Linked DNA regions of Coturnix japonica. The protein of the gene in region 2 purifies or fractionates together with the protein of the main gene of each other region. This does not show direct contact. Links are inferred from orthologs where the notes say so. Each region holds a gene or a part of one and is shown on either strand. Other genes may lie near its edges. The genes, in order: SHC1, KDR and CDH5.

Region 1 (8,201 bases), on a different chromosome or scaffold from region 2:
AGGCTGGAGCAGAACCCGGCCCTGGGCTGGTGCCCCCCAGTGCTGACACCGTATGGGGCCGGGATTTGGTATGAGCTGAGCAAAAGGCTGGAGCTGGGAGGAGAGGAGGGGGCTTTGGCACTACCAGCCCCCCGGCCCCACAGGCAGCTCACACCACGCTGCCTGCAGCCCAGGGCTGCCAGCTTCGTGTGGTGGTGGTGGGAGGGTGAGGACCATCCCCAAGGCAGTCCACGCTCAGCCCCGGCTGAGTCCAGGTGCTCCCCAGGGTGGGAAGCAGGGCTGGGGGGTGTGGGGGGGTGCGCACCGAGGCCCCCCTGGAGCTCACAGTCTCCTTTCCACTGGCTGCTGCAGGCACATCTCGCTGCCAGCTGAGATGATGGGCAGGTGATTGTCCATATGGTAGCTGATGAGGTGGCTGACGCTCTCAAAACGATGATCTTTTGTCCGGACCTGCAGGGAATAGGGAACTCAAGAGGCTGCAGATACACCCAGGAGTCCCCTCTATGCTTTACCAGGCCTCCTCCATCCCCTAAGCCAGCCCGGAGGTGTCCCCAAGGTGGGGTTGTGGGGAGATGTAGGGCCCCCCAAGCTTTGGGGTTATAGAGACTCACCACTCCTTCGGGGTCGACGAGCAGCAGGTGCTTGGGCTGCCCACCCTGCAGGCCGGTCAGCACGTACTGCCCCGGGGTGGTGATGCTGTCCCTCACCAGGAAATCTCCATTCACCTTCAGCAGTTTCTCAGCCTCTTTGCGGTTCATCTTCCTGTGATACCACGGTTCCCTCCTCAGCTGCTCCTCCATGGAGGCCACAACTTGGGCAGGAGGAACGGTCACGGGCACAGACTGGGGGGCACGAAGGGCATCTTCAAATGGCTCTGCAGGAGAAAAGGAAGGGGCTCCATCACACACCCAGCACAGAGTGCACAGCCTGCAGCTGCTGTCCCCACTCACTCATGTCGAAGAGGTCTCGCTGGGCGCTGCCGTTGGCTGTTGCAGGGCTGCCTGCAGCTGCTGCTTGGCGTGTCTTGTCCACGTTCTGCACGTTCACATAAGATGGGTCATCAAATAGGTCCGTACGGCCGGACGCACCCGCTGCAGGTGGGTATTTCTCTCTTCCTGCTGCACAAAGCGCTGTGGTCAGCAGCGCTCCGGCACCAGCACTTATTGCTGGAGCACTTTGGGACCAGGAAAGCCTATGGGGACCAGCCACATCCATCACATTACCTTGAGCGGGACCGTGCTGCTTCCTGGGGTCAAATTCCCCACCAGACGTCTGGCCAACAGGCTGTAGAGAGGCACATGGTGAGACCAAAAGACCTTGCTGTACTCTTACCCCTCCCCAAACCCCAGTATGGACTGCCAGAGGTGCTGGACAGAAGCGTGGTGTGGATTTTGTGCAGCCCACAGCCCCATTGGGGTCCTTGCATCTCCCCTATATAGCAGAACCTCCCCAGCAGCCCCTTGCAGACACGCTCAGCGCCTTACCAGTGTGGCCCCCAGGTGATTGGGGGTCTGCGCAGCTCCATCCCGCAGCCGCATGTCCACGACCCCCCCTATAGGAGGCTCCTTGCCAGGGAAGTCGTTGTAGTACTGGTGATCTGGGGCAGGCTCCTCCTCTTCCTCATCCCAGGCTGAACCATCAAACCCTGCCATCCTGGAAGGGAACAACACACAGCTGAACAGCTGACAGCAGCCAGGCCTGCATCCCCTCCCAGCACCAATAGACCTCATGGACCCCCATCTCTCCCTTCTCTTACCTGTCGTGGGGTGTCACCAGCTTCGGGGGGTTCTTTAGGTACTGCTTGAAGCGCAGCTCAAAGGCTTGTCCAATTGTGCTGATCACATCCTGGGCCAAGCCCTCAGGGCACTCCAGGATATGGCAGGCTGGGAAGGGAACAGCGAGATGAGAGCAGGATTAAATCCTACACCCCCTGATCCCACCCTGTGCACCCCAGAGATTCCCTGCAGGGACCCAATCCCTCTCTGAGCTGCACCCAAAATGGGGCTCTTGCAATTCCAGCCTCACCTCTCTGGTTGACGGGGTCTTTGGCAACGTAGGCGACGTACTCAGCTGTGTCCTGTGGGAGAGAGTGGTGATGAGCCAGGGCTGCTCAGTGCCCAAGACTTAGGGGAGAAGGCAGGAGAGGCTCTGATCCCCAGCACAGGGTAGGATGTGCTGGTTGGGGAACCTCTGTAACTCACCGGGTCACCCCCAGAAGCGAAGGAGATGGACTGCATGTGATGGTTGGCAATGATCTGAAAGGTAGAAGCACTGTTAGGTGCAGCTCCTCAGTGCCCACCCTAGCACTGGCCCAGTGTGGGGATAACAAACTTCAGGAGCCCTGGTTATGAGCCATAGGCAACCAGAGGAAGGGCTGAGACACCAGCAGAGCTACTGAGACTAAAAGACATCCAAGGCTGAGGGACTTGGGTCTCAAGGTCCAGAGCACAGATCCCACAAGGCATTCAGGGCATTGCTCAGATCCCTTTGCTACCAGGAATGGATGGGGTGGAACATGCTGGACCAGGAGATGAGCACTCAGCAGGAAACACAGATAAACCACACATCCCCAGGGAGAATGGGAACACCCCCAGCAGGGCCTGAAGGGGATGCATGGATCTCTGCTTGTTTGAAGGCAGCAGTGCAGCCCACAGCAGCTTCCCTCTCTCACCTGCTTACAGTCAGAGGCCATGAGGTTGAGGCTGCTGGTGGAGATGGTCAGGGTGATGGGCATGCCGGCGAACTTCAGGTTGCTCTTGCCCAGGATGGAGTTCAGAGAGCGGCCACAGGGCTGGGGGAGAACAGCAGCATTAGGCAACTCATCACCACCACCACTCCATGCTGAGCCATGGGGGCAATCAGAGCCCCTAAGCACTGCTGGCTGGGTTGAGATCCAGCCCTCAAATTGCTCCCATCAGCAGCTTCCCAAGTCCAGCCTCACCTTCCTCCTCCTCACTGCTCCCTTGGCACCAGGTACAGCCTCACACACCAGGCCAATGGCCTCCCTGCATGGAGCAAAGCAAAGCGTCAGCCTGGGGGTCCCTGTTGTCCCCTCCTGCATCAGCACAGGGACAAAGCTCTGCTATCAATGCCATATTTATGGGGCACCGCTGGGCAGAGGACACGAGGAGCAGTGCAGAAGGGACAGGGTTAAGCATGGAACAAAAGGGAAGCCCTCAGGCAGTGCAGGCTGATTCCCAGACCCGGCAGGGACAGGGGAAGAGCGAGCTGTTAATATTTGATGCAGCTGCAGGAGTGCTTCCTGCCTGACCGAGCTCATTGACAGGCTCATCGATCTCCTGGCAGTTTCCTCCATGGCTGCAGACAGCCTGGTTCCACTTCCACACCCACCCTGGGCAGCCCCAAGCCCCCAACACAACCCCAGGGCTCACCTGGTGACCTGAGTCCTTGTGTTGAAATCCAAAGCCCTCATGGACTGAAGGACTTCTACGCAGCCCATGTACTATGGAGGAGAGCAGGGTCAGCATCGGGCTTGGCTCGCTTTGACTCCCCCACCTCCCCATGGCAGCCCATAAGCAAAGAGGGGACAGGTCCCCACACTGTGCTGTTCACCTCCACCCACAACGAGCCCCCCCCCAAAGCCCACTCCCACCCCATAGAGACACCCCAGCACTCACCCTGACATGGTAGGAGACCCCAGGCCCCATGACTTTATCATCTGGGTGCAGCCAGCCCCGCGTGGGCTTATTGACAAAGCTGCCGTGGCGGGTCCATTCATCACCACCCAGCTGGCCGCCTTCCACCCGCGTCCTCTTCGCACAGCTCAGCTTGTTCATATCCTGGGAACAGACAGTGACAGGTCCTACTGAGTTAGTGCTGGCTGTTCCCCCTGGTGTCGGTGTGAGCGTCCCGGTTAGGACGGGTTGCCCTGAGCTCCCAGTATCTTTAAGGCTGCCGGTCGATGAGCCCCGTAGGCTGAGCAGGTTGGCGGGGTTGGAGAGCTTCAGGTTGGCCATTTTAGGGAAGAAAGAGCAGAGGGTGGTGGGGCTGTCCTCAGATTCGGATGAGAGCTCCCCGAGAGGCAGCATGGGGCTGAGGGAGGAGGATGACAGCGAGCCAGGCAGTGACCGAATGCCTTCAAGGGATTCCACAGGGGACACTGGGGTCCCCAAGGCTCCCACAGCCTCCTCCAGGGAGGAGACAGACTCGTTCCGCAGGTGGCTGTATTTGCTCTTCTGCAGGAGATCCATTGTGGAAAGAGGAGAGAAGGGCTGGAGCATGCCCACCCCTCACAGCAACCCCATAGAGCGCCTACAGCCTCCTGGAGTCCTCCCCCATGTACAGGTTAAGGTTGAACTCCATGCCAGGCACCCTCCAGCCCCTCATGGCTCACGAGGAGAACCAGCTCCACGCAGTCCCAGCAGATCGATAGCAACCAGCGTCAGCGATCCGGATAGATGGGCAGCAAGCCCCGCTCCCGGTGCACCCGGTGATGGGGGGGTCTCAGCACACCCAGCACACAGCTGGGAGGTCCTCAAGCCCCACTGCCCCTCTCTGCACCCACGACGAATCCCATTGTCTTCAGCAGGGGCTCAGCATGGCCCCTTTTGCCCCATAAACGAGTCCCAAACCGCTGCCCCTCCGGCTTGCTCTCCAGCCCCTGCTCTCTCCTCCTCGCAAGCGGTTGCCAGCAGCTCAGAGGAAATGAAAAGCATGAATATTTAAAGCCCTGAGACAAGGCAGCCACAGAGCACGGCCGAGCCCTGCCCAGCCTTGCTCAGAGCACGGTCCAGAAGCGAACAAGGTCCTTCTGTAGCAGCCGGTGCTACGCGAGCCACGTGCCGACAGCGAGAAGATGCTGTTGGCTCTCCGGGATCGATGGGGTGGGGAGCGACGCCTGAAGCCAAAGGGGGAACGCGATGCCAGAGGGATGCAGGGATGTCCAGCACAGCTCCAGGATGGTACAGGAGGAGGAGAGCGGCCAAAAGGAGGATACAGGTGGGTGTAAAGAGGGAGAAGCCGGGCTCAGCTGTGGAGCCGCCGGGAGCCGATGATGGTTGTTGCTTCCCGCATCCCGGCTCCTCCCGGAGGGGAAGAAGGGGCTGCCGCTGATCGGAAGGGCTGTGCTGACTCACAGGCGGAGGAGAAGGATCTGCTGTGCTGTGAGGGGATGGGGAAGCAACGCAGGAGGGGCTCAGAGGGAGGGGTGGGGACCCGGCGAGGATCTGGAGCAGAAAAATCAAGGTCACGGGCGGAGCTAGAGGGAGCTGGGGAAAAGCCAGAGCGTGTTGATGGCGCCAGGGTAAATCTCACCCATTTCCAAAGCTAGGAGAAACCCCAGTTTTCTAATGGGGGGCAATGGGGCAAGTCTGCCCCCTCCTCGTTCCTTCCCACCTGATGCAAACCAGCAATGGGGACCTCAGAGATCCCCCTTCAGCCCTTTGGAATAAGCTTTAAGGCCCCTTCTAACCCAAGCTGTTCCATGCTTCTCCTACCCCCCTCCCCCCCAACAAAGGGGGTCTCTGGGCCCCTCTGACCCACCTGCAGGCCAGGGCACCCCCATAGAACCCTACACCGAGCTGAACTCAAGGCAAATCCAGCCCAAGGGAAGGGCTCATCCAGCTCAGCCCCAACAGTGGAACCTCCTGCCCCGCTTCCCAAACGTTGGCATGAAGCCACAGAGACAGGGAAATGGAGGCAGGGAATAGGCTGGAAATAGCTGGGATCCCACACGATGTGGGGGCTCCGATGCCAACGGGTCCCACAGCCCCATCAACCCCCACCTTGGTGCTGCAGGAACAGTCCCACGATGTGCTCTGTTACCCCCCGAGGGCCCCACGGCAGCTCAGTGCCATGACCTTCCCATGGCCAGCAGTAAGATGGATCTGAAGAAAGGCAGGAAACCCGGGGCCGGGGAGCCAGGAAGCAGAGACCCGCCAGCCCTGCTCTGCTGGGCGGCGTTGGGGAGGCTCAAGGCAGCGTGTTTGCCCCCATAGGACCTAATTGGCTTGTACATATGGGGCTGGGGGTCCCACCTGGCACAGCATCCCCTGCATAAAGGCTTGCAGGCATCTGCAAACAGGGGCTGTCTGTTACCTAAGATAAAGGGGCAAGGGGTCTTTTGGACCCCAGCCCAGATGGGAAGCAGGGAGCAGCAATTCCCGGCACACACAGTGCCCCGAGCTGTGCCCGTTTCTCACAGAGCTCTGTTTCTACAAAACAGAATCACTCTTGATTTTATCACAACCTCCTGCATTGAAAGCTGAAGCCAGACAGCTCACACACATCCCCCCCCCAACAGCACTGGCTGGGAATGAGGCACGTCAGCACAACCAGATTCAACTGCCACAGCTCCAGAGCCCACCCCAATAATCACAGCCCCTTACCCAGGGGTCACAGAGCACCAAAGGCAAAGCAAGACGTGCTCAGCCCCATAGATTCGGGTCCTGCAACCCCTAAGCAGCACCCAGCAGCCCCTTGTCTCACCAGACAGGCTGGCACTGCACTCCCAGCCCTGCAGCAGAGCAGCTCCTCATGCCTGGAAGCTGAGGCTCAACCAGATCCTGCTTATATGCAGGACACAGGGACGCCGTGTGCTTGTGGGTGACCTCGTACACAGCCAAAGGGATGAGGAACAGAGAGGGGTTGATATAGCACAGCAAACAGAGCTGTGCCCACCGCCTTGCTTTGGAGGATCCTATGTTTCCCCCCAGGCTCTGCTTGCAGCCCTGCCATCCTCCCAGGAAACACAAAGCAGGAGCTGAGTCAGAGAGCTGGAACACGCGAGTGGTTTGGCAAGTAATCGCGGCGAGGAGCACGCAGGCAACGGGGGCTGCCACACGTACACAGCTTGGCTGCATACAGAGGGCAGGAGACCCCTATGTCCTAAGATAGGGAGATGGAGCCTGTCCCGTGCCCTGTCCTCCTGCAGCACGGCATGGAGAGCAAAGAGAAAGGCTGAGAGCCAGCCAAGAGCTGGATTTTCCCTTCAACACCACTACAACAACGTCACATGGCGGCGATGCTTTCCTGTCTGCAACCTCTCTGAACGTCCCAGCAGCCTCCTTGGAATGGGGGCAGGGGAAAACCAGCAGAGGAGGCCTGGAATTGAGGCTGGCCCTGGTGGTGAAGGGGGAAGGGGGGAGGCAGGATCCGCCACCGAAGCCAACTAACCCTTCCACCGAAGTCCCGAGCGCTGGCCGGCCTTACCACGTACTCCATCGCCGGTGGAGGGCAGGGAACAAACACTCAGCCCTTCTGGTCTGGCAGCCCAACCTGCGGTTCAGGGACAAACAGTGAGTTAGCCAGCCCTACAGAGCAGGGCTTCTCACTGAATGCAGGTAGATAGGGGCAAAGAGACCAGGGCATAGCTCCTTCTTAACATCCCTGTGCTGGGAAGGATGGTGTTGGGATGCTGAGAGCACGGGGATAAGCTGGAGTCAGGGCTCAGATCTTGCCTGCAGGCAAATGGTGTCGGCAACCACCTGTTGGCTGTACCCTGAAGCAAAAGGACCTCGATTACAGTCACTCTGTGACCTGAAATAAGCACCAGTGCCCTGTAGATGTCAGGACCCAAAAATAGAGGGCAAGAAAGGAGAGAGAAGAGGTGCTCAGACATAGAGGAGCACTCTGCTCCTGCCCACACCACCACCCCCCCCCCCAAGGCTGGCACCTACTGCCATAAAGGACACACAAAGTCCCCAGGGAGGAGCCAGGATGTGGCCGCAGGAGCGTGTGAAACGGATCCTGGTGTTAAGGAAGGAGAGGTGGAAAAGGGGCCACGGAAGGGCAGACGTGAGCAGAGCCAGGAGGGGCAGGAAGCTCTGAGAGAAGGGCAGCGGTGAAAGGAAAACACAGCCAGCAAAGCAGGAGCACAATGAGAACCCCTGCCCTCCCCAGCCAACACTGCGCCGCTCCCACCCTCACCATGGAGCCGCTCGGGGCCGGGTCAGTCAAGCAGATCAGGCCAACAAACACGATTTACTTCCTTGCAGCAATCATAAGTCCTTATCTGGGGCCTGCAAAGCCAACGCCGGAGCCCAGGCGGGCGCTAATGAGATTAGCCCAGGGGGCAGTGAGATAAGAGGGGCTGTTTGGCAGCCGCAGCCCCATCCTGGGCAGGGCCAGGCAATGAGCAACAGCAGCAGGTCACTGACTGCAGAGGAAGTGCAGAAATGACGAGGCCCTTTGGACTCTGGGGCTGAGGTTAGAGGACAGCACTGTGCTAAAAGCCAGCAGGA
Region 2 (8,101 bases):
GCAATTGATTTTATTGAAAAAATTGAGACTTCATTACTGAGTCAAATATGTAGTGCATCATCATCAGCTGTTACTGCAAAACTAGGTGCTTTTGAAAACCCATTGATTTAACCTTGTTTCCATACCAACAGAGCCCCTGGCACCCACGCTTGTGGGAAATCTGGAAAATCAAACAACCAACATTGGTGAAACCATAGAAGTGTCATGCACAGTAAATGGCGTTCCTCCTCCAAACATCACATGGTTTAAAAATAGTGAAACACTTTTTGAAGATTCAGGTGAGGAACTTTTCTTTTGTTATGGATTTTCTGTCACTTAAGGGCTGGCTTTCCATAGAATCATAGAATCACAAGGTTGGAAAGGACCTACAAGAACATCCAGTCCAACAGTCCTCCCTTTACTATACCTACAGAAAACCACTACACTATATCTCGTAGATACCTATCCAGACACCAATTAATTTTAATCTCAAGGTTTCATTTTGCATTGTTATCACAAACCAACATAAGAACTACCGAACTGAGTACAATGATTTTTATTTTTTCCTAGGAATTGTTTTGAAAGATGGAAACAAAACTCTAACTATACGTAGAGTTAGGAAAGAAGACGGAGGGCTGTACACCTGCCTTGCCTGCAATATTCTTGGATGCAAAAAAGCAGAGGCTTTTTTTTCAGTGCAAGGTCAGTATCTGCTTATTTCCAGTTTGTGCATGAACTTGTTATCATCATCAAAATAGGAAAAAGAGTGAAGTCTTTGTGCACAATGTTGTGACTGTTGTCCCATTTTCTTGATAGAAACAGGTAGTGTTTTGGGGTTTGGAAACTCCAGGCTTTGTTTACCAAGCTCAAAATTGTTTGTGAGACCCATTTCTCATTTGTAGCCCACCAAAATGCAGGGTGCGGTAGGAAATAATTAAACCTAATAAGAGGTTAGACTCCAGTCTGAGTAACTGGAACTGTGATGGACTTTGCATCAAGGGTTAGGATTCCGCAAGTAGAAACCTTCAAGTAAAAAGCTCATTGTGTTTGATACTAGTATATTTGTGAAAAGTAGTTACTGAATAATTCACTGATCTCTGTCTTATAAATGAGGATGATTTTCTATTACGTTAGGGCAATTAAAGTACTATCCTGTATTTTCACAGCTCTCATTAGGATACTAATATGTATTAAGGGCAATAACATTTATGTGGGATGTTATCTGTAGCTGATGTTAATTTCAGCTGAGTTGGTAAATGTAGCTGAGGCATGTCTTAAAGGCCTGTAAAAGTCAGAAATCTGTGTGTTGCATAGTGCTTCTCTTCAAATAATGTATAGTACAGCTCACTGGGATCACGAAATGGAGTGTGCTACTGTGTAGGAAAATGTGTGTGGTACAAAGGGTGACACTCAAGACCATGATGTGCAGAATGGGAACGGAAGAAAAGAGAGCTACTGCTCACATTAGATATTCAAGTATTGTTTTAAGTCCTCATTTCTACATGTTGCTGTAGAACCACATTTTTTATGACCCAGTTGAAGCATGAATAGAGATGTGTGAGAGAGTGCTCTCTGGGTTATTCTCAGCACGTTATTTACTATTTCTTAATACATAATTTTTCATTTGGGGTGCTCTGACACAATCATTTACTTTTAAAATATGAAATTTCACTTTGTATTGGTTGCTAATTATCCAGATTCTGCCCATGGAACAAAACTGATGCTAAGAAATTGTGTGACTGAAATAAGCAAAACATTCTAACATTAAACTCAAGCTTTTTGTTTCATTTTGCTTTCCTTGCTCCATGTTGCACTTTAAAAACAAACCTTCAGAACAAGAACCTCCATTCTGCGATTAAATAAATGAACAAAACCAATACGCTTCCAGCTATCACTCAGATATTCATTTATTTCTTCCCAGGCGCTGAAGAGAAAACAAATCTGGAGCTCATTATCCTTGTTGGCACTGCAGTGATTGCCATGTTCTTCTGGTTGCTTCTTGTAATCATCCTTCGGACCGTTAAGCGGGTAATGAAAAAATTCTTGTACTGTCCTATCAGCACTGGTCTTGCATGACAAATGAAAGCTGACTCGAATCCTATTGTGTTGTTTCTTTCCATTGTTCTTAAATCAACAGACACATATTTTTCTCTCCATGCTGTAACATTCTTGCCTGGAACTGAGGGCACAGAAATTTGGTTTTAATTGAACAGGCCTTCGTGAGAGAAAAAGTTCTTCAGCTGTTTTTGTTTATTTAAAAAAAGAAAAGAAAAAGTGCAAGTAATTACTGATGATCGCACTCCCAGTGACTTTGTGTAGGGGAATGGTAGCCAGGCATTTCTGGGAAATGGCAGAGCACTTCAGAGCGAGAAACTGGCACTTTGCAATATCTCCACCAAAAAACCTATGCATTTACAACTAATACCATTTTTCCAGGCCAATGGAGGTGACATGAAGACTGGGTACTTGTCAATCATCATGGATCCTGATGAAGTCCCCTTAGATGAGCACTGCGAGCGGCTGCCTTATGATGCCAGCAAGTGGGAGTTTCCCAGAGACCGACTGAAGCTAGGTGTGTCTTCCCTGCACAGAGCATTATATGACCCTGCAGCCAGCCTTGCACTAGAAGGGGCTTCAGGGTGGTAATGGGACTGCCCTGATGCACAGCCTGCTGGGAGCGCTCCAAACTCCCACAGGATCTAATACAACCTCTCCCCACTGTCAGTCCTCTGTTAATTTCTCATATAGAAATTCAGTTTGCTGTTTATTCTGTATCTTTTCACCACTGTACCAGGCAAATTAATCAGTCTGTTCTTCTCACTTCAAGGTAAACCTCTTGGGCGTGGAGCTTTTGGCCAAGTCATAGAAGCTGATGCCTTTGGGATTGACAAAACTGCTACCTGCAGAACTGTGGCAGTCAAAATGCTTAAAGGTAAAAAATACAACTAAGACTTCACCTTGAATGCACTATATATGGATATTGCCAATCTTGTGACCAGCAAAGATAAAAATGAACCAAAAACAATCAAAGCACTCATACCAATAGTGTATTAAAATTTATCTTAACAGTTGGTGTAAACACATACCTTTGCCTTATCAGTAATTGGAGTAACACAACTGTGGTTTTATAGCCATTGCTTTTTAGACTTACCCACATTAATAAGATAAATGTTTTCAAGTGTCCATATTTTCTGGATGCAGCCTGACTGGGTGGCTCTCTACAGGCTTTAGACATGTTCCAAAATGACGAGCAGTTATGAGAAGCTGATACAAGAAAATAGGGTTCCCTGCATCCAGGGGCTGTATCCCACCCTCTGCTGTGATGGAGGTGGATGGGAAAGCAGGCAGGTTTCTGACTGTGCAGTATGAGCAGTTGCAGAGCTTCTAGCTGTAGTCAGCTGCATGGGCTGGCTGCTGGGGTCAAATGGCAGAGTAGAAGTTGTTCAAAAGCTCTGTGGGGAAAAAAGGGTATTTGACAATATCGTTGGTGTCTCTGGTCTAATATGCTGCCCTTGGCAAATTTTGCTCAAAAGTAGAGCAAAGCCAACCTTGTAGTGTGTATGGCTAATTTCCATCAGTGTCCTACAGCAGAGCTGATCCAGGATGCAGGATGCCAGCCAACAAGACTTCTCACTAAAGAAGATGGAAAAATAATGGTGGAGAAGGTAGAGAGGAGGAGAACCTTTCTGTCTGTGATGCTCCTGATCTTTATTGTTTTACCTCTGCAGAGGGTGCAACTCACAGTGAGCACAGAGCACTTATGTCCGAGCTGAAGATCCTCATTCACATTGGTCATCATCTCAATGTTGTCAATTTGCTTGGAGCCTGCACAAAGCCAGGAGGTGAGTAACTTCTCAGTTTCTGCCATTTCTACTGCCTTGATTATTGGGTTTCAAAATTAAGGTTAGAAGAAATTGCCCCCCTTTCTTTGTTTGTTTGTTTTTTCAATTCCTGGTAAATGTAGCAGATCCAGAGATGGGATAAGAGCTCAAAGCCCTGTGTAGTATGTACAGCTCCATCTCTTGTTCAATTTTGTGAAGCCTTCAACACTCCTGTTCTCTCACTTCACTTTTCAGTACCTCATATCCACTTTCACAGTGGATGCCTTGCATATAACCGGGTCTGGGTATGAGTCTAGTAGGAGATTTCACAAATTGGTCTTATTCTTGCCACCAGCTACAGTGCAACTGCAAGTTATGGCTTCCCTCCTTGGCTTTGGACAGGGGGTGGGTGTATCTGTGTGTGAGTGGGAGGGGAGGTTGCATTTTGAAGTACAGCTCTGGGTGCATGAACCTACTTGACTTTATAATCTAGGACAGATGTTTCATTTAGCAAATTCAGCACTGAATGCTAATTTGGAAGAAATTCAGTGTGGAGTAAGTCAGTAATAATTTTTCAGGAAAGCTGAACTGTTGATTTACCGTGTGATCAGAATTTAATTTGTAAAGTTCCATGAAAAAAGTGCAGTAGTTGAAGGAAACATAATCCATAAATATTTCTTTATTTGATTATTCCGCAACAAAATTGATATGTGCAATATTTGGAACTTAGGGTGGAAATCTGTCATTGTAATAAATGCTTATAGGAGCACAAAATACCGCATTTTGATTGTAGATTAAAGCATCTGTATTTGAAACTGAGTTCCTGATTTAAGTTGTTAGGGCTTAAACTACCCAGACATTTATAGAATCCTAGAATCACAGAATCATAGAATGGTTTGGGTTGGAAGGGACCTTTAAGGTCATCTAGTTCCAGCCCCCCTACCTATAGAGGCAGTGACACCTCCCACTAGGTCATGTATATACATCCACCTTATCTTGCAGCATGATCTGTGGTTAGAAAAACAGCATTTCAAAAACCATTTTACTACTTTCTCAGAGTATTTGAAGGTACTAGTAATAAAAAGCTTCAATCAAAAGCAGGGCAATTATTAATCTTCCACTGGACAAAAGAGGAGAAGATCACACTAAATAATTGCTTTGTATGTTATGCAGGCCCACTCATGGTGATTGTGGAATACTGCAAGTTTGGAAATCTCTCGGCATATCTACGGAGCAAGAGGAGTGAATTTATCCCATACAAGGTGCAGTATAGTGTTTGATTTGGTGTTTAATTTCCACACACAATTTGTCTGTTTCTTAGCGAGAATGCCGTGGCAGTTCTTGAGGATACTGGCTATTCATTGCTTCTCATGGGAATGAGAGATGACAAAGACATCAGAGGTCATCTGGTTTTTCCCCTGGCCCCTGAAATGTTGCTATTTTGTTATTGTTAGCTTAAAATGTGCAAAGGAACTGGGCTTCCAGTATTTCCCTTGGCAGATTGTTCTACACTTGGCTGTATCTGTCAGGAAGTTTTTTTCTGATTATCAGCCTGAATTTTTTCCTTTCTTAGTTAGGCTCCAGACCACCTTAAATAACTGCACTCCCTGCTTAGTGTATATATCCATCATATCCATACATATCTTTTATTGTGTAATTATCCTTTCCACTTTCCTCTTGCCTCATTGCTGAACCAGACTACCCACATTTTGTGCTGTTAATCGTGTTGTATAAATGATGCATCCCATGAATTTTTTGCTGAGTTTTTCACCTTCCAAATCATTTACAAAGAAGAGCTCTCATCACAACACTTCATATTTGCATCCTGCTTTAAAGAAGGGGGAGGATGGAGGTTGGCATTTCCGAGGTCGTTTCTGTACACCTCTGCAAGGAGGTCTGATTTCTGGGAAGGGATGCAGCATTCATCCACTCCGAGGGTCAGATGCCAGCTGAAGAGCATGGCTGTAGGTGCCCAATTCTGGAAACATGCCTGAGACTCTACCCTTTTTTGCCCACAGCCAAGAGAAAGGCCGCTCAGTGCTCTGCAGCGCTGATAGATCTGTTCTTCAGTCTTCTTGCAGTTGCTGTGTTCAGATCAGAGCTTCTTTAATTTGTTTGTCAGTTCTCCAGAGCGTTATTTTTCTTCATCCTTGGAGTCATTGTTTACTATTTCATATTGGCAAAGGCAGTTCGCTGCATCCTTTTGCGAGGTAAAAAAGATAAACATCTAAGGGAACTCGAGGAAAGAGGCAAGGTTTCACAAGAGTGATGATCCTTGCTCACCAAAATAATAGGGATGGGAATCAGCAACAGGAAAATACAGCACTGCCATGGGAGCAAAGTAACCAGACTGAACCAGACTGAGAAAATGGAACAGTAGTGGAGCAAGTCTGCAGGTCTGGGATCTTATCCAGGGTAATTTGGTGGCTCTCTGGTAGAAGGTGATCAATCAGATTTTGAGGGCAGCTAGGGTTTTGGCACAGGTGTAGAAGTTTAGTCAAATGGTTTTTGCAGCAACAGAAATTAATGCAATAGTGATGCAGTAGGAGATTCAGCAGCACATTTGCTTTGTGATTGGAGGGGACAGGGACTTGGTAGGAGGCTGTGAAAGCCAGATTCCTGATACTTGTCCAAATAGGTTTCTTCTAAACAGTGTTGAGCTGGCAGTGAGGGGCAGCTGGGAGACCATGGGAGCAGGCTGTGTGGTGCTGTGAGGGGGCTCATGATGTGGGCTATAGAGAACTTTGTTGCCTCTCTTGGAGAATCTTTCTACAATTTCTGTTTCTGATTTCTCCCACTTTCTCTGTCCTTTTCAGACGAAAAGTGCCAGGTTTCGGCAAGGTAAGGAGAACTACACTGGGGACATCTCCACAGACCTGAAGCAACGGTTGGACAGCATCACAAGCAGCCAGAGCTCCACAAGTTCTGGGTTTGTGGAAGAGCGGTCCCTGAGCGACGTGGAAGAGGAGGATGGTAGGATATGTTTTCTCCTGGTTTTGGAAGAGGCTGATGAGGGGCATCAGGGAAGGGGTGTTTTCCAAATCTCCCTCAAAGCTGTGTGCAAAATATTTCTTGGATGACAAAAATTTGTTGAGCTGTGGAGCATGGCAGTTCAACATTCCAGAACCCTCAGCCCATTCCCATTCCAGGTTAGAAGGGATGAATTTTTTAGTGCACTGCATTCTGGAGATCTGCCTATTTAGCATCCCAGTGTCTTCAGGAAAAATCAGAGGACACAACTTCCAAAGGCAGAGCAAAGAGGATGCACCAGAAAGCTAAATGAATTTCCTCAATGTTTACCCAGAAGTTAAATATCATGAAAAACCATCTGCTTTGCTGCTTATTCTCGGAGAAGTTGGTTTGCCTTCCCTGTGTGCAGGTGGTCCACCAGGAACAGGAAACCTGAATTTTCCGCTCATTCAAAGCCTCCCTTGGTTATACATACCCTCTTCAACAGTTCCACATTTGCCATCTTCTCTTTTGGCAGCAGTAGTGCAGAGTGCTCAGTGCTGCCCAAGTGTTTCAGGGAGCGCTCACTTCAGAAAGTAGTGGGATCAGACTACTAAAGGGGGAAGCCATAGCTCAACTCTCCATGTCTTGACTGATACTTGAAAATCATGCAATGCAAAGAAAAATATCAGTATATTAATAGTGAGATTGTTTTTGCTGTTAAATTTGATCTTAATAAGTAATGTCAGGCCATCTTCATTATGCACTTCTACACCACTATGGTCCTTTGCAGACATCTCTGGAGTGAACACTGAGTCTTTGAGCTGAAATGTTGTAGAAGTGTCTAGGCCTAAAGTAGGCCTTGAGATGAGGGGTTTAGTCAACGGAGTTGTAGTTTGTGGCAGATTTCTTCTAAAAATCTAGAGCTCTGTGAGGAACTTGGAATACTTCTATCAGCAGGAACTAAGTGTTGAGGTATCTTCATTGGATACTTAAGTATGTTATTCCTCAGGGTTACTAGAAGATGAGGTTAGGTTTATTCTACCCAAAATTAGCAGTGTTTTTGGCCAAACTTGAGTCTTTCTCCCTTTGGCATATTGCTTCCCTATAAGGACTAGGTGGGGCCTTCTCATCAGTTTCCAAAGTCATCTGCTGAAACCACAGCAAGCCTTTCCTGTCCTAGGAGCTTGTGAGCTAGGGTCTTTGGTTGTTTTTCTTTTGTGATTGTTTCACAGATCTTTCCACTGGTGAGAACTCTGCAAGTAAGCAAGGAGGCCTGGGGCAAAACTCATCATCTGAAAGTTTAATTTTCACAGGTCTAGTTTGGTTTCTAGTGCTGATTATACAGCCAA
Region 3 (8,101 bases), on a different chromosome or scaffold from region 2:
AGCAGTGAAGAGCTTTGAAGAAGAAAATGACAATTCATTATGGCTCTCAGATTCCTTATTCTCTGTGATTGTGGTATCCCTTGTTCCCTGGCTCTAAGGCCACAGGCACGGAGTGCCCAGTACTATTCAATATCCTTCACTTAGCAGAAGAGTCTGGCCCCTTCCAATCCAACTGGGAACTGCTCCAGCCCACTCCTCTTCCTAAACCCAGTGGAGCCATGTATAAATATTTGGGGAGCTTGGTGGGCACGTTCTGTAGCTCTGTGTGAATGGGGAAACTGGCTCGGATACTTTTGTTGCAAATAGAGTTTTCTGTCTGTTCCCCAAGCTTCTTCCTCTCCTCATGACTCTGTCATTCCTTTAGACAAGCTGAAAGTATTTCTGTGATAGAAAGGGGCCAAGTCTTAAAAGTGTTTGATCTATTTGTAGGTACTCATTTGATTTGGAAGATTGCTGTGCAAACCCTGCAAGCATCCATTTCATTTGTAGCTTAGTGGAAGGAAGCTGTCAGGTTGTGGCTTTCCTTCCTGATAAGGCACAGTCCAGCTGTAAAGGCACCCACTGATTTCTTTCAAGTAAGGAAATAGTAGCACTTACCATCCTCCAGGACTTCCTGGGCTGCCACAGTGATGTTGTATGAAGAACTGAATTCTCTATCTAGAGGCTTAGGAAGTTGAATAATTCCAGAAGCAGATACTCTAACATAGTCTCCATTAGGACTAGCTCTTCGTCGAACAAATCTGTGTTATTTAAAAAGAGGTGCATCAATACAGGAGTTACAATATTGTGTTTCACTTCAGTTCTTCATAGGAAAAGGCCAGAGAGTAGTTTTATAAAAAATTACATTTATGTTAAGACCAGGGATACTGGTGAGGCTGCACCTTGAGTACTGTGTTCAGTTTTGGGCCCTTTATTTTGAGAAAGACATTGAGGCTCTGGAACGTGTCCAGAGAAGGGTGATGAAACTGGTGAAGGGTCTGGAGCACAGGTCTTATCAAGAGCGGCTGAATGAGCTGGGATTGTTTGGTCTGGAGAAGAGGAGGTTCGGGGGAGACCTCATTTCACTCTACAACGTCCTGAAGGGAGGTTGTGATGAGGACAGGCTTGGCCTCTTCTCCCAGGCAACAAACAGGACCCAAGGAAATGGCTGCAAGTTGTACCCGAAGAGGTTTAGATCAGAGATAAGGAAACAGTTTTTCTCTCAGAGAACGGCCAGGCACTGGAATGGCTGCCCAGGGAGGTGGTGGAGTTCCCGTTCCTGGCAGTGTTCGAGAGGTGTCTGGATGAGAAGCTATGAGATGTGGTTTAGCAGCTTGTGGTAGCAATACTAATGTAAGGATGGTTGGACTACATGAGCTTGTAGGTCCTTTCCAACCTTGTGATTCTATGATTCTATGGAGCCTCAGAACATTTCCCTAAATTTATGCAAGCTGTGAGAGCATAACATATCCCTCTGCAAGGTTCCCAGATTATGGGCTTTCACTGTTTTAAGAAGTCTATTTTCTTTTCCTTACAAAGCACATACTCAAGAAAGTTGTTGCAATAAACAGTAGATTATTGTAACCGTGGGAAAATATCCAAGATTATGTATTTAAATGTAGAAATGTTTTATTCATGAATTCATGTGTATAAGTAACATGTTCGTGTTTCTTGGTTGTTGTATATATCCATAGTTGCAGTGGCTGAAAAGTCAGATTGGATTTTTTCTTTTGCTTGCAAATGTCTGAAAAATCAGGTCAGTGTCTCAATACTCCATCAAATTCTTGGAATCATTAGCAAATTCTCTACTTAAAAATAGAACCACTAAGGCTGGTGTTGCGTTACCTGATTTCCCGTTTAGCTGCGTCGGGGTCATACGCCTGAACGGAGCCGAGTGTTTTTATTTCAGGATCATTCTCCCGTACTTTAAATTCATACTGATGTTTGGCGAAGACAGGAGGCTCATCTACATCTGTAACTTCAATGGTAATTGTTGAAATGCTCTTGGAGCCACCAGGTTTGTAGTAGGCAGTGTTAACGTTCTGATCTGTTGCTTCGATGTCAAACCTGTACTCTGCTACTTTCTCGAAGTCCAGGGGCTAGAAGAAAGAGAAACATAGATATTTTTTGGTGATGGCTAGGCAAAATTAGCTAACTCTGCAAAGTAAAGGTCTGTGCTGTTGTTGGGAGATACTAGTGAACCGCACTTTGACAAGACTCTGGGGAATGCATATCCAGCTGAACTTCCCTTTCATAAATGGACTGGCTGGAGCAACCTCAGGTTTTGAACAGATTCATTCAGCATTCAAAGTTCTGCAAGGAGTAATTTTGTTCTATGATTCTGTAGATACCAAAATTGTTTAGTTCCTATTTCCCTGGGTCAAGTACTAGATTCTCCTGTCCTTTCATTCAGGGCAGACTCCATAGCTGGTGAATCTGATGATAAATGATATTTGCTTCCTTACTTTCACCATAACTGATTACAGATGGAATCCCACAATGGAAGGAAGGTCAAGAGCTAGAGTGGTAAGAAATGCCCCTGCTATCATGTGTTTCAAAGCTTGGATCCCTGTTCCCTGTCACCCAAGATTATAAACACACTGTGAAATATGCTGTAGTTAATCATGGTGACTGTGTTTTTGTTTGAATAGACATTGCACGTGGAAATGACAGTGCTTTTTTATCAGTTGAAACTGTATCTCACCTGACTGTATGTTTAAAACTCTGATGTACATGCGTGCCTGACAGCGTGCTGCAAGATACTGGGGCAAATTTTGCCCACTGCTTGGTGAAGGCTGGGCTGTCTCTGCCTCTGGCAGTGTGTGTGTGAGATCTCTGCTGCTGCTGCTGCTCTTTGGCACAGGCTGATAGCATCACATGTCTCAGGCCCTGTGGTAACAGGGGACATGTGTTTGGTGAAGGAAAGCTGCTGGCACAGTGTGGCCACTGCTGAAGGATTTGCCAGTCTCAGGATATTTGTTGCTTTTTTCTATATGGAATTTTCCCATCTCAGTAGTATCTCTAATACTGATCGCTACATAGAGATGCTTGGAAGTTAAAAAAAAAGCCACAAACTCATGTCAATCTGAGTATTACTCACAGTAATTTATAGTCTTACATCTTTTTTTTTTTTTTTTTTCACCATATATCAATGAAATCAATGAAATTTAGGCTTGGAAGTGCCCTGTATAGTGCAGGAATGTTTCTTGGTGCAAATTAAGTAGGTTTGAGAATTAAAAAACAAAGAGCAAGCCATATTAGAGGTTTGGGAGAGCCTGCGTCCTTTTAAGTAAGAGTTACCAGGCAGTAGTTGGGAAGCTTTCAGTGCTCAGAGGTGAGACAGGGAAGCAGGATGTGGCTCAGGAGGGAGCAATGCTAGATGGCAAAGAGCACTTCTAGAGGGGGGGTCAGGTGTACGCATTTACATTCCTGCTCTGGTTTCCCTTTGGCTGCAGAATAGAAAGATTTGATTCTTTGACTTGGTCAACTCAACTGCTGCATTCACAGACTGTTAGGAGCATCCAAATATCCCCTTTGCACTCTGCAGCAATCTCAGATTTTCCCAGTTTTGGCAGGTGAAATAGGCTGGTAAATCGCCTGCTCTCCTCTCAGGGCTTACAGAATGAGGTGTTCAGGTTGAATACCTTTTGTGCTGTGGCTTTCATGCATTTCCATTTTTTCCTGCTGCTGGCCCCACACCGAATCAAACATTTGTTAAATGTGGAAAAACAAAATCATATTTTTCTTTGTTTCTGGGAAAAGTACCTTCTTTGGTCTGATGATTCCTTCATTGGTGAATGGATTTGCTACAATTTCGAAGGTGTCCCTGTAATCTCCTCTGACAAAAATGTATTTTGTATGTCTGTGTTGTGGTTCATCAATATCTTCAACTTCGACTCGGCCGACTTCTCCTCCTACTGAAACGTTTTCAGGAACTTTAAAGTGAAATGATGCTGTTTAAAAAAAACACAAAGCAACAATGGGGTCATAATGACGGTGCACATGGAACAAGTTAGAACTTAAAGTTTTTTCTTGGTTCATAGATAGACACAGAGAATGATTGAGAATTCAGTGTTATTAGTCTCTACAGACAGTACTTAAATGTTTCTTTTTAATTACTTCTTGAAATTGTCAGGTTTCTTTATAAAGTTACCAAAGTTAATACTGATTTTTACTTTCTGCTCTAGATATACTCCTACCAGGAAATGAAGCCAGTGCTGAAAAGCAGAAAGGCGTCTGAATATGTAAGAATCTTTTGTTCACTTTAAAGGAAAATTGAATTGTGATGCCTAATGTAAATTTCTTTCATTCATGTCAGCTCATGGTTTCTAAATGATGCTTCCCTGACAGTATACTTACGGCGTTTGAATACTGGGAAGTTGTCATTGATATCTGTTAACCTGATAACGACTGTAGCTGTGCTTGACTCCCCGGTAAGCCCTAGAGCATCTTTTGCTTTAACAATAATTTCATATGTTGATTGAGTCTCTCTGTCCAAATCAGCTCTGGCTGTGGAAATCACACCTTTAAAAAATAATATTGAATATGATTAGATTTTGTAACACTTTCATGTCTTAATTTTGAGAGCGAGTTTTTACCTTATGACACATTTGCCTTTAAGTAGCAGTTTTATGGTTATATTTTTCTAAGGCTAAAACTATTAGAAATGATGAAATATTCAGGACATTTTGTACAGTAAATTTCTTTAAACTTGTCTTTGCTGCTCAGAAACCAGCTGATAATGTCTAAGCTTGGTCACTACAGCGCCTGGAGTGCATGTCTGATCACCTCCTTATCTGCTTTAGTTGCTCCAGAGAACCAGCTTACGAGAGATAATGAGTTTATTTCTTTATCTGGACAAACTTTAAACAAAAAAAGTTTAGGAAAGCAAAGGTTTGAGTTACTGATTAGAAACCAGAAACAAACTTTCAAAATCAGCCTAATAAGATGCATTGTTTGTATATACTGACTTGCTCCAGGTTTCTGCTAACTTAAGGAGTGGGTAACCCATCCCTCCTGTGCCAAGTCTGCAAAGCTGTAGGGCATTTTTTGGTGTTGTAATTACCATCTGCCATTTGCTTTTTAAGAGGTTTTGTCAGCTATTCTTTAGGAGTGCTATTTCTTAATTTATTCCTCTTTTATCAGTTTGGTCAAAGGAATGATATGTGTGCTGAACTGAAAACATAGAGTTATATTGGCTCCTAGTTGATCTCTTAATCAGTAGGGATCACCTGACCTGATCATGTCATTTACCTCTTGGTACCTACAATCATGCCTTTATTGGTTCATTTTTAGATGTAGACAGTGACACTGTGTTAGTGTGAGTGTAAAATCTTTCCAAATTACAGTTGAAACTAAATTCTTGGCGTAATTATCTCCCTTGTCCTGAAAGAAGATGGCTTAAAATTGTATTTTCCTGAAAGCATAAGGTCAACATTTGACACTTGCATATCTGACCTACCAGAATCATCAACTGTGAAATATTCATTTCCTTTAATGATTTGGTAGGTAACTGTGGCATGACCTGCAACCGTTGGGTCATCAGCATCTTCAGCTGTCACTTTGGTAACTGCGGTTCCTAGAAAAGGATTATTGAACACCACATTTAGTATAAATTCTGCTTTTTAGCCAAGGAAAGAATTGAAAACGAGTAATGGAAGAACCTTACCTAATCGTGACATTTCTGGGACAGATCCATTGAATACCTTTTGTACAAAAATGGGAGCATTGTCATTAATATCATAAACCTTGATAATAAATTTAGATGGCGGTTCCAGTGATCGGTTGTTTCTTCTGTCAATAATGTGTGCTGTCAGCTCATACTCTGCTTTCTTTTCTCTGTCCAGCCTCTCAAAAGCATATATGTCGCCGTCAAACCCTTGCACTTTAAAGATGGTGTTGGCAGATTCACCTTCAATAATATACATAGCATTCTTGTTCCCTGCACTCGACGTGAGCTAGAAAGTATATTTCAAAGAGATAAAAGTGAGCTGTGGCTTTGGAATATAAAACAGTTTCTACCAGAAGATACACATAAACATGACCTCTTATTCAGACTCAGTTTGAAACCATTGGGAATTTTGATGACAGCTGGCATATTACTGGACAAACCAGCAATGCAGAATAGGATAAAACGTGCATCCAGACTGAAACCTGTTTGCTTATATATCAGGAATGTTTTATTTTAAGGTTATGCCTTATATTTCCTAAAGATATAAATTGTTCATGCAGTTACAGATAAAAACTGTCAGCCTCATTGTGTCAGAAATGTAGGTACCACTACATGGAGCTACACTTGTTGGCAAATTATCTTTGGAATGTAGCAGAATTCTAAGTGGAATTTTGCTTGGATTTCACAGAATGACAGAAACAAATCCTTATTCACAGCTACTGACAAACATTATTTAGCATTTTTCTCCATTGTTTGCCATTTAGCAGAATTCCTGCCATGGCTGACAGCTTTCTTGTGTTTAGTCATGTGTCATTTCTTCATAGTTGGTCTTTATGGTTATGGCAGTGAAATTAAGTTTTCACTCCACAGAGTTTCAAATTTAAGATTGTATTGTATGAAAAAGGGTGGGGTGAAAGGTAAAATGAGTCTGTTTTTATGTGTAATTTAATCCAGTCCCAGGTGGTTTTGTACATTATTATTTCTTTTAATCTGGACATAATCTGATGATTCTTTCCTATCTACGCTCCTCTAAGAACGCTGCTATAAAGTTTAGAACACAATTTTCTGTGCACTATATCAGCATTCTTGTTTCAGCAAGCTATTTATCAATAATTGTTGGGTTTGACAAAGATTTTCTAGTCTTTTGTTACTGACATTATCATAAATTGCAGCTGTTTGGTATTCAGGATTTGATTTATCCCGTAGTTGTCATTTACTGTTGAACATTCTTTCATTTATGTTTTTTATTTTGAAATGTGCTATTAAAATTCTCTTTCCTCATTCCACACATTTAATCATGCTTCTAACTGCTGGTGCTGCTGAACAACAGCTCGTGACTCTGGAGTTGTAACAGGAGAAAGAATCTCACCCTTGTCTCAAAGATAGTACAGCCTTTGTCTTCTTTCTTAATTTCTATTTACTTATTTGGTATGAAAGGTACAGCTTCCAAGGTTGCCTTTGCTAAATCTAAGGATGGACATGCAAATTGAAGCCTCCAAGGTCATCAAAGATAAAATCCAGATGTATCAGCATATTCCTGCATCTGTCGCTCGGTTTGGCCATGCTGATGCTGTGGCCTTTTAAAAGGATTTATCAAGTGTTCAATCCTGCAAATGCAATGCACTGTACACAGTCACTGCAAAAGTAATCAGACACATTCCGCTTTTGAAAGACCACAGAGCACAGTACAAAGTGAATTACTCTTATTTAGGACAGCACCAGGAATAAAAACTCTCTCAATCTGCTGCTGAATTGGTCTGAAATGAAACAGAGATATCCTGTGGTAGCTGAGTACCCGGTGGCCTCTTTTCTCTCTCTCGTGCTTTCTGCCAATGAGCAGCACTGATCCAGAAAGGTCTGTTTCACTTTACCATAACAGCCTTGACAGACACTGATTGTTGCACATGGAAGGAAAATGTAGAACTGCATTTATCCGAGAAGTGTCAAAGTAGTTCAATTTGAAAGACTAGACTGGGAGAACTTTATCTGGGTGATGTGCAGTTAATCACAGGATTTTATGAGCATTGCCCTGAAGAAAATGAGTTTGTGGTCAGGTCAATGCTTGTTATTACTTTCAAAAACTGTTTTCCTTCACTTTGTGAAACAAATTTTTGATTGTGTAACAGTACTCCTAAAGTGCACTTTATTTTTGTGCCTGTGCTGAGGGATGTAAGCTATGTGGTCTTTAATACGTATGTTTTTATTAGCTGATCTCCCAGGTTTTTGAAAGAGCAACCAGAAAAACACTGATATTCATCAGCTGCCAGACCTTCTTCCTTACTCTGCACCTGCATGCAGTGCAGTTGTTTCTTCACTGCAGATGCTCCATGCTTGCCATTCTCTAAAATTTATCTGTATTCTTTAGAAGAATTATAATTCCTTTGATGCTGCTCTTGATTCACTCTGCCCTCATTTTAGGATTGTAATGTTACTACATCAGTCCCATTTCTA

What was found.
Region 1: the proteins of KDR (region 2) and SHC1 purify together in Homo sapiens (affinity purification with western blotting; 3 studies listed by BioGRID and IntAct, with this or other methods). This does not show direct contact. The link is inferred for Coturnix japonica from reciprocal best matches to the Homo sapiens genes KDR and SHC1.
Region 3: the proteins of KDR (region 2) and CDH5 purify together in Homo sapiens (affinity purification with western blotting; 3 studies listed by BioGRID and IntAct, with this or other methods). This does not show direct contact. The link is inferred for Coturnix japonica from reciprocal best matches to the Homo sapiens genes KDR and CDH5.

What each region holds. Positions count from the first base shown.
Region 1 is NC_029540.1:1,432,499-1,440,699, reverse strand, and holds the start of SHC1 (SHC-transforming protein 1), read right to left. Parts: upstream 5,143-8,201; 5' UTR 4,242-5,142; coding exon 3,639-4,241; intron 3,464-3,638; coding exon 3,393-3,463; intron 3,006-3,392; coding exon 2,942-3,005; intron 2,792-2,941; coding exon 2,672-2,791; intron 2,256-2,671; coding exon 2,202-2,255; intron 2,078-2,201; coding exon 2,026-2,077; intron 1,884-2,025; coding exon 1,757-1,883; intron 1,654-1,756; coding exon 1,485-1,653; intron 1,285-1,484; coding exon 1,224-1,284; intron 1,119-1,223; coding exon 951-1,118; intron 875-950; coding exon 612-874; intron 451-611; coding exon 322-450; 3' UTR 1-321. UniProt on the Homo sapiens protein: Signaling adapter that couples activated growth factor receptors to signaling pathways. Participates in a signaling cascade initiated by activated KIT and KITLG/SCF.
Region 2 is NC_029519.1:58,814,924-58,823,024, forward strand, and holds part of KDR (vascular endothelial growth factor receptor 2), read left to right. Parts: intron 1-131; coding exon 132-278; intron 279-549; coding exon 550-681; intron 682-1,900; coding exon 1,901-2,007; intron 2,008-2,415; coding exon 2,416-2,551; intron 2,552-2,806; coding exon 2,807-2,911; intron 2,912-3,707; coding exon 3,708-3,821; intron 3,822-4,973; coding exon 4,974-5,062; intron 5,063-6,616; coding exon 6,617-6,773; intron 6,774-8,101. UniProt on the Homo sapiens protein: Tyrosine-protein kinase that acts as a cell-surface receptor for VEGFA, VEGFC and VEGFD. Plays an essential role in the regulation of angiogenesis, vascular development, vascular permeability, and embryonic hematopoiesis.
Region 3 is NC_029526.1:10,020,009-10,028,109, forward strand, and holds part of CDH5 (cadherin-5), read right to left. Parts: intron 5,937-8,101; coding exon 5,648-5,936; intron 5,558-5,647; coding exon 5,441-5,557; intron 4,504-5,440; coding exon 4,339-4,503; intron 3,933-4,338; coding exon 3,745-3,932; intron 2,079-3,744; coding exon 1,825-2,078; intron 741-1,824; coding exon 598-740; intron 1-597. UniProt on the Homo sapiens protein: Cadherins are calcium-dependent cell adhesion proteins. They preferentially interact with themselves in a homophilic manner in connecting cells; cadherins may thus contribute to the sorting of heterogeneous cell types.